2 linked regions of the Macaca mulatta genome follow. The protein of the gene in region 2 purifies or fractionates together with the protein of the main gene of each other region. This does not show direct contact. Links are inferred from orthologs where the notes say so. Each region holds a gene or a part of one and is shown on either strand. Other genes may lie near its edges.

Region 1 (6,631 bases), on a different chromosome or scaffold from region 2:
AGTTCTGGGTCTAGGGGAAAGATTACACCCAAGAGTGAGTATTCCATTCTCCATCTTCCTGGGGAAATCCAAATCCCAAAGGTTTCATGAAGAAAAGCACCTCTCTCAGCGACCTAGAGACAGGGAGAGCACAGACGCACTGCTTGGGTGTAAGGCTGAAGCAGAGAGAGGGTGGGCTGCAGCGAATGTAGACCCAAGGCAGAGGAGTAAATGCATGTCGGGGAGTTGAGGGGACAGAGACAGCCTAGACGCCCAAGTCATAAGTTCTACTCCTTCCCCAGTTCTGAGTAGAAAGTTTTCTTCCCAAGACTAGAATGGAGTTTTAGTTTTAGGAACTGGCTTTGCTTCAGGACACAGAGAAGACAAACCAGGCAAAGATCCCACAGGTAGTAAGGGTGGAGTTAAGGCAGCTAATTAAGAGACGGGCACTCACCACGGCAGTTTTGAAGCTATATGCCAGATCGGGGTAGAGAATGCATTTTATGTGCCCTATTCAATACAATTTAAATCACTGTTTCTTCCATGTTGTCCCTTCCCTATGAACTATTCCCAGTACCTTTTCCAAGGCAGAGGACAGGGCAGTAAGAAGGAATGGAAGAAAACACTGAGGTCAGTAAGTGGGGCTAGGGCTTAGATTGGATAAATCCCTACCCATCCCCACCCCCACTCGTTCTATAGTAAAGAATTCTCTTTTTCCCTCCCCTTGCTGGGGTGTCGGGATGAGGTCCAGGTAAAGGCAAAGGCAGGAAAACATTCAGCACATTCTTTCTCCTACTTTAATCTGAAGTGTAGCTACAACAAAGGGCACAGAATTTACAAAAATGTCAGGGCAGGGGAGCATGTGAGCATAATCCAGTCGAGAAAGAAAGAGGGTGCTTCCCCTGCCCTATTATCTGAATATGCTGGGAGCTTTACTCCCAGAACTGCAAGAAGAATGAAAAATAATAGGGAGGGTGTAGGGGAGGTTGGGGGGACAACCACAAACAGAATGGAGATTTAAGGATCCCTGTGATCCCCGAGATGACCCTGAGAGCATCGATTGGGGAACTAGATGAAAATTCACAGCAGACATGCGAATTTTTTGAAGAGGATGAAGAGCCAGGAACAGTGGGATCTTCACCGAAGGAGTGACCACTTGATCTGTTCTTTGGCTGACTGCAGCACCTGCAGAGATAAGAGCAGCGTTGAGGAAAGCTTGCTGACAGGGCAGGGTAAGCATGAGGGCTGGGGATCTCCTTCCCCTCACTTGTCTTCCCTGTCCTTACAAGAATGGAGAATAGAAAATCCCCAAAGGTAAAGAGATGGGAAGAAGCTCTCTAAGGCCCTAGCAGATTGTTTGGAAAATTTCAAAAAAATACAAATCCACTGAGGGGGATGAAGAAAGAAGAGGTACAAAAGAAAAAAAAAAAAAAAACTGGGAGTTACTGGACACATATTAAAAGGGGCGGTGGGTGGGAGACGGGTAACAAATCCAGATGGACTTCTTGGTGAGAATGCCAAGCGGGTAGAAAACAGAACCCCTCCCTTCCCCCTACATCAGGTAGACAATCTATCTGCAGTCAAGGTAGCAAGATGGATCTGCAAAACCTGCATATTCTAGAATATGCATTTCCAGCTTAGCCCTCATTTGAATAATAAGAGAAAGAGAGAGTGTATGCACAAATGCACACAGACCATCTGCTTAAGGCAAGCCTCTGCTGGGGAATAAATCACTGAATGAGGCATCAGGCAAGGAAGGTTTGAAGGGTACAGAGCAAGGTTGACAGCCACTGTTCACAGGAAACTAAGAAAGGAGTTGGAAGTAGGGGTAGGGAGTAGCTGGCTATATAAGTCCCAGTTCTCTGGAATAAGAGGGAGCCAAGAAAGATGTGTCTTGAGTCTCCAGTCTCACTCAGACTTGGGAGGTATGGGTGGAATGCTGTTCTAGCCTCTTTAGTGATGCAGTCCATCTGGAAAGGAAGAAGGGAGAAAGTCATACCTGAGACACGGTCTGCTCCGTAAGGGGGACATCTTCACCCTATGGCACAGAGATACAAGCATTTAGTGTGGGAGAAAGCTGGAGTAAGACCTGATTGGAGTCTGGTATTAGAGAAGAAAAAAGTAATCCTTTAAACTGAAACAAAGGGCAGATGCGCTGAACTTCTCAGTCCCTTCTGGGGACTAGGACAGCTACAGTTTTACTTGGCCAGAGGGACTATGAACAAAAAAGGGTCATTTCATCCAGCTTCCATTTTAAGGCAGGAGGACTTCTTAAAAGATTTAACTCCATTCCGAGTAACCAGCAGGTTATCTGATCCTCAACTCCCTTAACTTGGGGGTGGAGGACCTGATTCTCTAGTCAGAAAAGGCCTTCTCTGAGTATCAGTATTGCTAGGGAAAGGATGAGGGGGAGCCAGGAGTGGTTTAATGGATCCCGCAAAGCCTGATGGGTAACGACAGCATGTTAATTTGAAGAAATAAACTGCTGCAACAGCAGCCTGAGAAGAGAAAGGGGGGAGTTGGTGGGGGGACCCTCTCTCTTGCCACATAGAGACATATGTTAGAGGAGAAGATTAAACTATGCAAATGGAGCCCACAGCAGTTAAGGGAGAAGATTTCCCATTACCAAGCACTGTCAGCCTTCACTCTGTGGAGGTCAGAGCCAGGACATTCTGTGAATGGGGAGAATTTGCTTTGCTCAGACATCTCTGCACCCGTATAATTTGCTTGTGGGCTCTCTGCATCCACCATTATCTCCTCAGCTGACCTGGGGCCTTCTATGGTTAACTCAGAGGCCCCTTTCTGATATCACTAGCACCAAAGAGGACTGAGGTTCTGAGGTTCTGGCAAATACGTACTTCCTGATGGAGAGGCACCATCCTCAGTTATGTAACACTTTATTTATTTATTTATTTATTTATTTTTGAGACAGAGTCTCACTCTGTCACCCAGGCTGCAGTGCAGTGGTGCAATCTTGGCTCACTGCAACCTCCACCTCCCAGGCTCAAGCAATTCTCCTGCCTCAGCCTCTCGAGTAGCTGGGATTACAGGCACGCACCACCACGCCCAGCTAATTTTTGTATTTTTAGTAGAGACAGGGTTTCACCACGTTGGTCAGGCTGATCTCGATCTCCTGACCTTGTGATCTACCGGCCTCCACTTCCCAAAGTGCTGAGATTACAGGTGTGAGCCACCACACCCAGTCCTATATAACACTTTAAAAGACAAAAAAGACACTCTTCTGCCTCAGATGATTGGATCCATCTCCAAGAAGGAAATAAGCCAACTTCAAGTTCCTTTATAATTTCAAAACCATAAATATTAGTTTATTTTATCACTTATTAAATAAATATGTATTAAATGTCCACTTTGTGCAAAGACTGTATGAGATGTTAGGTACCTTATTAGGGGTAGAAATAAGTTCTTTCTTCTTCTTTCTTTGGGACAATAAGAAGGGAAGGAAAGAGAAAGGCTGAATGTATTTGAAAGAAAAAGAGAAGGTTCTATGTATCCTATGAGCCCCAACTACTAGACACATCCAGCAGGTCTGGCTGTGGAGGGTGTTTGTGAATAGATGCGGGGATGCAGAGAAACACATTCCTGCTTACCCTTAATGCCACCCGGTGTACCACCTGCTGGGGATCACTCTCGAGGATCACCCTGCAAAAACAAAGAAGAGATCACTGTTCACTCTGTCCCGAATGCCCAACTCACTGTGGGGGAACAGGACCTCTGGCCGCTGAGCCTGCTTGACTTAGGACAGGGGCAGTTATCCCACTACCTCACCCAAGATCAAGGCAGGTCAGAGAACTTACCCTCCATCTACAATTTCATCCACAGCCAAGAACAGCCCCTCCATGTTCTCCAGCAGTGCTCGCTTTTCTACATTTTTCCTGAGTCCCCAAGAGAAGAGAAGAAAAAAACCAAATTGTGTGTGAAAGAAATCCTAGGACCTTGTCTGAATTGAGGAACCTAAACTAGACCAATAAACATCTCCACCAACCACACAAAGAAGTAAATAAGGTGAAGAACTTTTTAGCTAGTTCACTCAAAACCCCTTTCTACTCTTGGTTGCTGAATAAGGAATGTATGGAAAGAGATTCAAATAATACAGTTAATTTCTGACTATTCAGGGGTTGATTATCCACAGCTATTGTTTCTTTCCTACCTGCCATGCTGCTGCTCATAACATTGCTCATAAACACTGACATCAGTGGGTGGAAAAAAATATAAACAGAGCTAAGACTCAATCTGGAGGTGGCCGGAGGTGCGAGGGGTTGAATGCAAACCTTATTTGCACTCAAGCTCTAACAAACCTCCTGAGACATTCTCTGTTCCCTCTTCTCCCTATCCCTTACCAGCTCTGCTCAGGCCCTGAAAAGAAGCCCAAAGAGGGGGCAGGGTCTGCATACACTAGCCTCAGATCCGGTGGTTGGTGCATGTGGCCTGTCACATCCGTCAGTTTGAGGCTTTCACTAGATTACCCGAAATGAAGTCTATTCATTCACCTGGATAAGAAATAAATCATCCCCTTCCTGAGGAAATCTGAGCCATTCACCCTGCTGAGTTTGCAGGGCTGAGAGTGCCTGCTGTTCTGGTCTGGATGGCTGTCTGTACTGGGTTCACTTGAGAGCTGCTGGGGGAATGAAGTTCAGAGCCCTGGATGTTTTCAGAAAAAGTAACTTACCTCTCTTCTATTACCCATCTACACGGTTAACAGAGGGCTAGTGGGGAAGTGGAAAGGGAGGAGAGGGTAAATGGCAGAAGCTTCCTGGTTTTTTTTTTTTTTTTTTTTTGGTTTTTTGAGACAGGGTCTTGCTATGTCGCCTAGTCTGAAGTGCAGCAGCATGATCACAGCTCAGTGCAGCCTCAACCTCCTGGGCTCAAGCAATCTTCCTACCTCAGCATCCTGAGTAGCTGAGACTACAGGTATGTACCACCACACCTGGCTAATTTTTTTATTTTTTGCAGAGACAGGGCACTATGTTGCCCAGGCTTGTCTTGAACTCGACTTATGCAATCCTCCTGCCTGGGTGCTTCCTGTTCTATAGAAGGCAAAAAACAAGGACTAGAAGTGGAAAAAAAAAAAAAAAAAAAAAAAAAACTGGGCTACGTGGCTCATGCCTATAATCCCAGCACTTTGGGAGGCCAAGGTAGGTGGATCATTTGAGGTCAGGAGTTCAAGACCAGCCTGGCCAACATGGTAAAACCCCATCTCTACTAAAAATACAAAAATTAGCCAGGCGTGGTGGCGCATGCCTGTAATCCCAGCTACTCTACTCAGGAGGCTGAGGAGGAGAATCGCTTGAACCTGGGAGGCAGAGGTTGCAGTGAGCCGAGATCATGCTACTGCACTCTAGCCTGTATGACGGAGTGAGACTCCATCTCAAAAAAAAAAAAAAAGAATGAAAAAAAAAAATTGGGAGTGTTGCTTCCATTCCCGAAGTACTGAATGACATACTATCTGGGACACTTCCTTATGCTTGCCCTTTCCCTACTTCTAATGTCAAGAATGAAGCCCAGGAAAGCACCTTGAGGATGCTCAGATCTGACAGGGCCACAGGGGATTACAAGAGTAAACACAGAGGTAAAGATTCGGCTCCCTCCCAGTCCCCTTCCTTAGTAAGATCATTATTCCATAGGAGGGACATACTCTCCATCCAGTCCTCCCCAGTAGCATGAATTACTATGAATTAATAAAACCGACCTTCTTTTTTTTTTTTTTTCTTGAGACACAGTCTCACTCTGTCGCCAAGTTTGGAGTGCAGTGGTGTGATCTTGGCTCACTGCAAGCTCCACCTCCCAGGTTCACGCCATTCTCCTGCCTCAGCCTCCTGAGTAGCTGGGACTACAGGCGCCCACTACCATGCCCAGCTAATTTTTTGTATTTTTAGTGGAGACGGGGTTTCCCCATGTTAGCCAGGATGGTTCACCTGACCTCGTGATCCACCCACGTTGGCCTCCCAAAGTACTGGGATTACAGGCGTGAGTCACCACGCCTGGCAAAACCCAACTTCTTAAACTAAATCAACTCCCTGGAGCGTTTGCCAATCTCCCACAATCCCTGAGCCTGAAGATGGTTACTTTATCTCCCAAACAGAAATCAACAATGCCCTGCTGTTTCCATCGTAACTTGGGGGGAAAAAAAAAGAATGTCCTGCTCACCTCAGCATCTGGCTCAATGAGTCGAAGAGGCAGTTCAGAACTGCCATAAGCATCAGCTGTTGGGAAACAGAGGAGGCAGAAGGGTAAGGTTCAAGGCCCTGAAAGCTGCTACCTAAAAACAAAACCTCCTAATTCATTAAACATCAAAAGACACAGGCTTTCACAAAGGACCAAAAACATAAGGTGGAAGTGAGAGCACAACAGGAAGAGGACCTGTGGTTTCTCATAGAAATAAATTCTGCTACATGATCCCACAATTCAACATCTCTTTTAGCCAAAAGTTTATAAACAGAACTTTCTTGTCACAGTCCTCTACAATGTCTTTACCAACTGTATGTGTGTTACCTGATGTCTTAGGTAGAGAAATCATTAACCAAGCAATAGCTGAGGTGACAGGAAGGCTGTAGAGTTAGTGTAAAAAGCATGGACTTTAATTGGCTGGGCACAGTGGCTCACACCTGTAACATCTAGACCCTGTCTAGACCCT
Region 2 (7,810 bases):
ACAGGAAGGAAATGTTTTGAACACTGGAGGTGGGTCACGGAGGAAGCTTATACATATTCACATTGTGAATCGAAATTTAAAGGACAGATGAACAAAGACTGGGCAGTACCAATAGAGCAGGGTTTTGTTTTGTTTTTCCCCTAAGGCAAAAGGCAGAAATGAGTGGGTATACCATGATTAAATTGCATTCTGTAGAGATAAGATCATTTAAGTAAGGTCAGCAATAAAAATTAGAGACATTGAGGATGATGGGGTAGAAAAGGGATACCAAATAGGATAGGAAGATGGCTTGAAAGGAAATTAGGGCAATTTCAGTGAGTTTGAGGAATGTACAAAAGAAATGAGTTGGTAAATAAGGAGATCTCAGACTGAGAATCCTGGCAGGTCTTTCAATGGGTTAGACTGTAGGAATATTGATTTTAAAGCCAGGCTGAAACAAATTCTAGTGATAAAGGAAGGGGAAAGGGTGGCTGAATCATAATGTTCTACCAATCCTGCTTTTTTTTTAGTATTTGAGTTAAAATTCAGATTAAATGCTTGGCTTAGAAGAATGCAGTTTCACTGAGCCTCATTAATATGGATCCCAGTGGGTGAGTGGAAGTGTTAAAAGTAAAAAACTCTGAGGCAAATCTTACTTAACTGACGTTGTGTTTTTAGTACAGAATGCCAAGTTAATATGGTTAATACTGAACAGAAAATAATGGAAGGGCGACTACAGATTCAGAGAAGACCTCGAAATCCATCGGATTGTATAGTAGCTTAAGATGGCACTTTAAGGAAGTGTAGGCAGAAAGTCGAGAAATTAAAATAATTATGAATCATTATATGGCAGGCAATATTTCCAACGAAAATCAGAGAAAATAAACTCACATACATGTACTGTTACAGCTGATCTTAGAATTAAAGGCTGTTTTAAAGTAAGTTATTAATATTTGTTGAAATGTTCCAGATAATAAGAAATATGATACAATAAAACCTGATAAAAGCAATATAAAGATTAGAATGGTTCTGAATAGGCAGTGGAATAAAAAGTTAAGTTGGTAGTGGCATTAAAAAGGTCCAAAATGGGGAACAATTGGTAGAATGTTGTGTATATAATATATATTGTTACAGGTGCAATAAATATTCAGGGGAAACAGAGCTGCTGAAAGAGAATGAATGCTTAGAAGGAATGCTGCCTTAAAGGCTTTTCTAAAACTTTTTAGGTAAAGGACAAGGTCTTGGAGGAAGAAAGATAATAAGTAGGACTAATTATTAGCATGTCCCTAGTCTTTCAAGAAATTGCCCAACCTTTGCAAGAAGGTGTTATGGTAATATATTGATGTTGGGTTACAGCAAATTTTTTCAGATAGGGTAGATTTGTATACATTTATAAAGTAAGGGGAGTAGAAAAGATTAAAGATCGATCAAAGAAAGGATAACTGATGGAACAACTTTCTGGAAGAGATTAGAGGATACTTGTCTTTTGAACTCTAGAAGACTTCATTTTTAGAGAAGATAAAGGAAGAAAGTGGATAATTCTAGAATCAAACACTAAAAGGTTCTATGTGTCTGGCACCATGTGAAGCAATTTACCTATTATTTCATTTCATTTTATCTTATAACAGTTCTAAGAGATCAAATAATTTGTCTAAGATCACACAGTCAGGTATGTAGCAGGGCCAGAATTCAAATCCTCATCTGTCTATCAAACCCATATTTCTTTCTATTATGCTATACTGTTTTCAAGTTGAAGGAAACAACCAAGAATTTCTGTTTTTTCACTGTGATTATAAGGAAAAACATTATTTTTCTGAAATGAGACATATTGATGTTTAAGACCTTGAGGTGATAGGTAAAATTTGGAATATCTGTGATGGGAAAATGCAAAAAGGAAGGAATGGGTAGAAGATACCTATTACCATCTATGCCCTGGTATTTCACTTCTTTCATTGCATAGCATAGACTTTAGATTGGCCATGGATTAAAAATTTGAGAATTCTGATAAAAACTAAATAGAAAGGAGTTTGTTTTTAAGTAGGTATATGATGGGTCAAATATAAACTTACTACTAACGAAACTTTAAACAATTCCCTAAATGCCAAACTTTTATAAACAAAAATCAAACCATCAAGCAAAAGAGTCCATAGCCAGCAGACCAAATGTTGAAATCTCTGGGCTAATCTGTAAGATCTATGTTTTAAAAATCCTTAGTGAACAGGGGCAAGAAAACCTCTCCTGTTTTTCTCTCTTGGTGGAAATGTTTTCTGTTGTTGTTGTTGGTTTTTTCCTATGCTATATGTAATTTCTATATTGCTGTTTTGTGTATTTTGGTATTATAAAATTGTACTTCTTAGATTCTGTTAAGAATACTTCCTGGGGTGTGAGCAAAATGAACCTGGGGAAGTGGGAAGAGCTAGTATTCTCAATTGGCAAGGGACTGATTCTTCAATGGGTTCAGCATTTCACTTCCCTCTGAAAGTAAGTGGCAAAGTAATAGCATCCCTTAAAAAACAGGATGTTGGTGAGAGGTAGAATAGTGAGAGGTAGAATAGCGGGAGGAATTTTGAAACATGGAAAGATGGCTACTGGAAAAGAACTGACGAAGTGCAGAATCTCTCCAGACAATGGTAGAAGCCACAGGACTACATTAAGATTGGGCCCAAATACTAGTTTAGAAAAGGGTAAATAAAACTAGGTTTACTTAAGAGTAGAGCCAGCTTAATTACTGGCTTGTGGACATATTTCAGACAAATCTAACTGGAGAGAAAAACAGACCAGGAGAGAAAGCGAAGTTATAAGGAAATGGAACTAGAGAAACCTCACAAAGGGATAAAGGAGGTAATTAAAGGTTAAAGCCAGATAATCTTGAGCTCAAAGGAGAAATACTGGAGGCCAGATAGGAAAGTGCCTTCCTACTCAGGGGGTTATGGATCCAGGGTGGCTAGAGGATAGAAGTAGAGTTCCACCCAGGGCCAGAGGGAACAACCTGGGATTCAGACACAGCAGTGGTGCCAACTTGAATCTACCTCGTGCTAGAGTCTGAGCAGCCTGGTCTATCACCTAACACAGATAAGACTGGACAGAGGCTCCCAGGAACCAACATCTAAGAAGGGAGTTTGGAGAGGGGCTAAAAGAAAGCAGGTTAAGCCCCAAATGTAACTGAATGATGACCAGGGATAACTATTTACTAGTGCTTTTATGATTTCTTGTAACTCTGTAACTTCCCCAGTATTTGTTAATTTTTTAACTTCTGTTTTTCCTGTACTTATGAGCAGTAAAAGTTATTCAAAACATAAATGTGATGTGTGTGCTTATTTCTGTGAAAATTGGGTAACAGTTATGAATATTGTGCAATGAATGAGAGAAGAAATCAAGGAGGAAAATGGCGGTGGGGGGAATCAAGTAGAACAAATACTTGACATTCACAAGAGATAGGTCATGAGACCTTCCCAAGTCTCCAAATAAGTAAATACTACTACTGACACTAGCTGGCTGCCTTTTAGGGGCTGTTTTTCCCCCCGCAAAGACTGCATATGGGTCAAGCTGGGAATTAAAAGCCCTTCTTAATGTGGACACACATGGTTGGCTAAGCCACTCACTAGGCTGAGACATGCTCTCAGACACCAGCCTTATGCTACAGGACCTTCAAAAATGATATATTTTAAAATGTCAACCATCTACTCCATAACCAAGTTCAATCTAACTAGATAGAAACTTTGAGGAGAAGTGGGTCAAGATTCTTCATAGGAGACATCAGGTATATGAACTGTCACAAGTGGTCACATTATTCCAACAGAAAGCTTGAGTTCCTTTTTGTGCTATACACACTCAGTTTCTCTTTTAAGATTAAGTGTTTAGCAAATTTTACTCAGAGATTTAGTTTTAAAATTATTTCTGCAGCAGTAACCAATTTTATAAATATATATATTCACACACACACACAAACACATACACACACACACTCATTATCATTACATTAAATTCTAGAAAAGCATCACATTCTTAAACTGAGCATTGGAAGAGTTGAAGCGCTCTCAAGGTAATGCATTCTGAATCACGTAAGTATCTCCTCCCTTCTAAGGGTTAGTACCTGCTGTAGGGTCATCATCAGGCAAACGAACAAGAGTGTAACATATTCCTGGTTGGTTATAAGGAAGGCTGGGGGCTGGGATACAACACAGCACTTCATAGGAATCTGATGGCTCCATCTGCACTGTCACTTTTTCCAGCAGCTGGTCATTGAGAGTGTTGGTGCAGTCAAACTGAAAAGTCAGTAAATGGAAAAGTTGTGAAGGATAACAAGTTATCCTTCCCACTCATAACCCACTACTCAGCTCTGGAACCCACTATACCTTCTACCTCTAAAGAGCAGGGTAGGTCTCCTCCTAAGATTCTTCTTTTGGCAACAGGGAGAGCCTTATTGTTGAGGTCTTTTGTTTATATTATTCACCAGTTTTTTCTCTTTCCTGAGACTGCTGTACCAAACAAGATGGCAGAAGTCTGATCGCTGTCAAATCTAAGTTCTTAGAATTAGCCCACTTAATCTACCCTGATGTTAAATGATAATTTTAAAAAGTTGGTTATACTTTATGTTGTCCAACTTCTTCACACATTTCAGTTTTATGTCCTTTAGATTTGAACCATCAAAAGTTGCCCATCACATGAAGGGATCTCTATAGCTCTGGTGTTAAGCAAGAAAACCAGAAATTCTGCCAAATTAATTATCTATAAAAGAAACTAGAATTATAGGTAAAGGATATTTGTCTCAAAGCATACCAGTTTATACTAAATCCCTACAGGAGTTAAGGGCATTCTCTTACCTGGAACACAATGTGATTGGTAAACATGTGCTTGATACATCGAACAAAATATTCTGTCTCTGCTTCTGTAAGTTGAACAGGCTCAGAAGACTTGAACAAGGGTCCTATATTCAGAAACTCAGGAATGGCAGCCAATTGTTCTATCAAGAAAAAAGAACACAGGCTATGAAGAAGACAGGGAAAGGCTTTACTCTGGATGCTTAAAAAATGCTTTAGTTGGCCGGGCGCGGTGGCTCACGCCTGTAATCCCAGCACTTTGGGAGGCCAAGGCGTGGGATCACGAGGTCAGGAGATTGAGACTATCCTGGCTAACATGGTGAAACCCCGTCTCTACTAAAAATACAAAAAAATTAGCTGGGCGTGGTGGAGGGCGCCTGTAATCCCAGCTACTCAGGAGGCTGAGGCAGGAGAACGGCGTGAACCTGGGAGGCAGGGCTTGTAGTGAGCCGAGATCGCGCCACTGCACTCCAGCCTGGGCGACAGAGTGAGACTCTGTCTCAAAAAAAAAAAAAAAAACAAAAGCTTTAGTTTCCATAGCCTTACTAATGGTTGAACATTCAACTAATATGTCCCCAAGTTTTAGTGAAATAATCTTTTAAGTAAGTGAGCTTATATAATAATGAAAGCAAAAGAAAAAAAAAAGAAACTAAATACTTATTTTACAATGAGTTCCCTGTTAACCAACGAGATACAGAAAAGAAAAACATTCCCAGTTAGCAATTACAAACTGGAAAGTTCCTGGACTCCGGGTAGCCTCAGCAACTATACCCTATGGTGTTCAGCCACATGAAGATTTCCTATATTGAGAACTAATCAAATTGAGTAAGACTGGTGGACTTTATTATATTTACAATGCCAAGGGGCGAGATTATTACGTCTAACCATCAAATCATCATACCTTGGAAAATGTCTTGCCTGGAAGGAGCCAGCTTCTCTGGCTTAGTAGCCACAAATGTGATTTCTATAAAGACAGATATGAGCAAGTAAGTGAACTTCTCCCCGTACTATCAAGCTAGCAATGCAGACAGAAAGAGAAAAGAGCAGACATTTCTAGCAGATATATAATGAGCTATTACTAAATCATACTTACAGGTTATCTGTCACTTCTGATGGGGGGACACTCAAATTAAAATGTATGTAGTGAACATATGTTGTGGAATCATAAAGTAAGCCCTAAAAATATAGAATTTGCTTTAAATGGACTGGGATGTACAAAAATTACTCAGAAAAGGAAAAACAATTTATTTTAAAAATCTTCTCATGATCAAAATAGGAAAAATTACTTATATCAACAGAAAAACTGAAAATGTTGAAAATAAGCATAAAATTGTTTCTTCCCAGTTTTGTGTTCTAACCACTAAACATTTATGTCTTCTGTTTTTGTTTTAAGTTTTAAAGTTAGATATTCTTTGGGAATATTTTTTATGATTGTGTCCCATAAATTCTTTTAAGATGAACCTCCAATAACAAAATCAATTAACTTAGAGATTATCAACTTCGGAAAATAAAAATAGGAGGCAACAGCACTATTAACTGCTCTGAGTGAGATGCACAGTGGCAACTGACTTCAGATACTGTAAGACTTTGCATTAAAAAAAAAACCTTTATCTTGGAGCGTATTTCATATTACTGCTTTTATGTAAAAACCAGGAGTTTTTTAAAACTCTAATAAAAATAGGTCTTAAATCTAAAAGATTTAGAAGGGGTGACAATCGGCCGAGCACAGTGGCTCCCCGCCTGTAATCCAAGCACTGTGGGAGGCTGAGGCGGGTGGATCACCTGAGGTCAGGAGTACAAGACCAGCCTAGCCAACATGGTGAAATCCAGTCTCTACTAAAACTAGAAAAATTAGCCAGGCGTAGTAGGGCATGCCTGTAATCCTAGCTACTCGGAAGACTGAGGAAGGAGAATCGCTTGAACCCGGGAGGTGGAGGTTGCAGTGAGCCAAGATCGTGTCACTGCACACCAGCCCGTGTGACGGGAGCGAGACTCCATCTCCAAAAAAAAAAAAAAGAGTGACAATTAAATGCGTATTAGAGAAAGTAAGATAGTATTTTTTGGTTTTGCAAAACTACTTATACACAGAAAAACGAATAGAGTTAACCTGCTTTCTGTTCGAAGACAGGAGCCATAGCAAGAGGAATTGATTTCATGTCAAACGGTTTTTCTGAAGGCTCCAACGTGTACTGGTGTAAGGCTTTTTCCATCCCTGGTACGGAGACCGTCAAACCTGTGAAACACAGAGAAATCTCAGCATTATAACCTCTTGCCAATCCCCAAATCCAAATAGGCCCAGGTTTGTAATATTTATCAAAGCTTTCTGAAGGAAGAGAAAAATATAACCAAAAGCTTTATAACCTAAATATAAAAATAAAGGATATTCCTGAAATTACCTTATAAACTTATAAACTGACTTATTTCATTCAAGGAAACATGGGAGCATAGCATACACATTTTCAACAAAATGTATGTACCTCCCGGAAAAGAAAGCAACTTAGCTATATGGGAACAACAATAGCAACAAGAAGGAGTTCAAGGAGAACCAGGAATAAGTGAGCAACGTTCTTAAAAAATGTAAGGGCCCAATCTATATTCTTATAGATTGTTGCACAGGAATTACCATTACCAAATTAGAAACTGTCCTATAGACACAGGTTTCTCTAGAAACGGAAATGCATTCAAAGACAAAAACCAAGCATCTGCCTAGTGAAGTTAGTTCATATGCAAATCATGAAATATGCTTTCTAGACACCATTCAAGGAACAAAAGTGGACATCCTTGGCTTTCACTGACCATTAAAGATATATGTGGCATTTAGTGCCACCTGCCTCTGCTGCAGCACATTCAGATAGAAGGTAGCTCTGTCTCGTACCTCATCATCAGTATCCATCATGCACCTGTCCAGGAGAAACAGAATAGTCATGTCACAGTACCCCAAAGACTTCCAATAGCTCTACTACCAAATCTAAAGGACACAGCTCAGGTCGTCATCTGATACTATCTTTAAA

Evidence for each region. Proteins that work in one complex are often made in the same cells at the same time.
Region 1: the proteins of COPG2 (region 2) and COPZ1 fractionate together in Homo sapiens (co-fractionation; 5 studies listed by BioGRID and IntAct, with this or other methods). This does not show direct contact. The link is inferred for Macaca mulatta from reciprocal best matches to the Homo sapiens genes COPG2 and COPZ1.

Annotation. Positions count from the first base shown.
Region 1 is NC_133416.1:61,540,790-61,547,420, reverse strand, and holds part of COPZ1 (coatomer subunit zeta-1), read right to left. Parts: intron 6,201-6,631; coding exon 6,145-6,200; intron 3,873-6,144; coding exon 3,795-3,872; intron 3,640-3,794; coding exon 3,588-3,639; intron 2,018-3,587; coding exon of another isoform or gene 1,979-2,017; intron 1,950-1,978; coding exon 1,725-1,949; 3' UTR 1,165-1,724; coding exon of another isoform or gene 1,117-1,164; 3' UTR 1-1,116. UniProt on the Homo sapiens protein: The coatomer is a cytosolic protein complex that binds to dilysine motifs and reversibly associates with Golgi non-clathrin-coated vesicles, which further mediate biosynthetic protein transport from the ER, via the Golgi up to the trans Golgi network.
Region 2 is NC_133408.1:170,234,165-170,241,974, forward strand, and holds part of COPG2 (coatomer subunit gamma-2), read right to left. Parts: intron 7,700-7,810; coding exon 7,596-7,699; intron 7,033-7,595; coding exon 6,907-7,032; intron 5,764-6,906; coding exon 5,701-5,763; intron 4,943-5,700; coding exon 4,803-4,942; intron 4,245-4,802; coding exon 4,073-4,244; intron 1-4,072. UniProt on the Homo sapiens protein: The coatomer is a cytosolic protein complex that binds to dilysine motifs and reversibly associates with Golgi non-clathrin-coated vesicles, which further mediate biosynthetic protein transport from the ER, via the Golgi up to the trans Golgi network.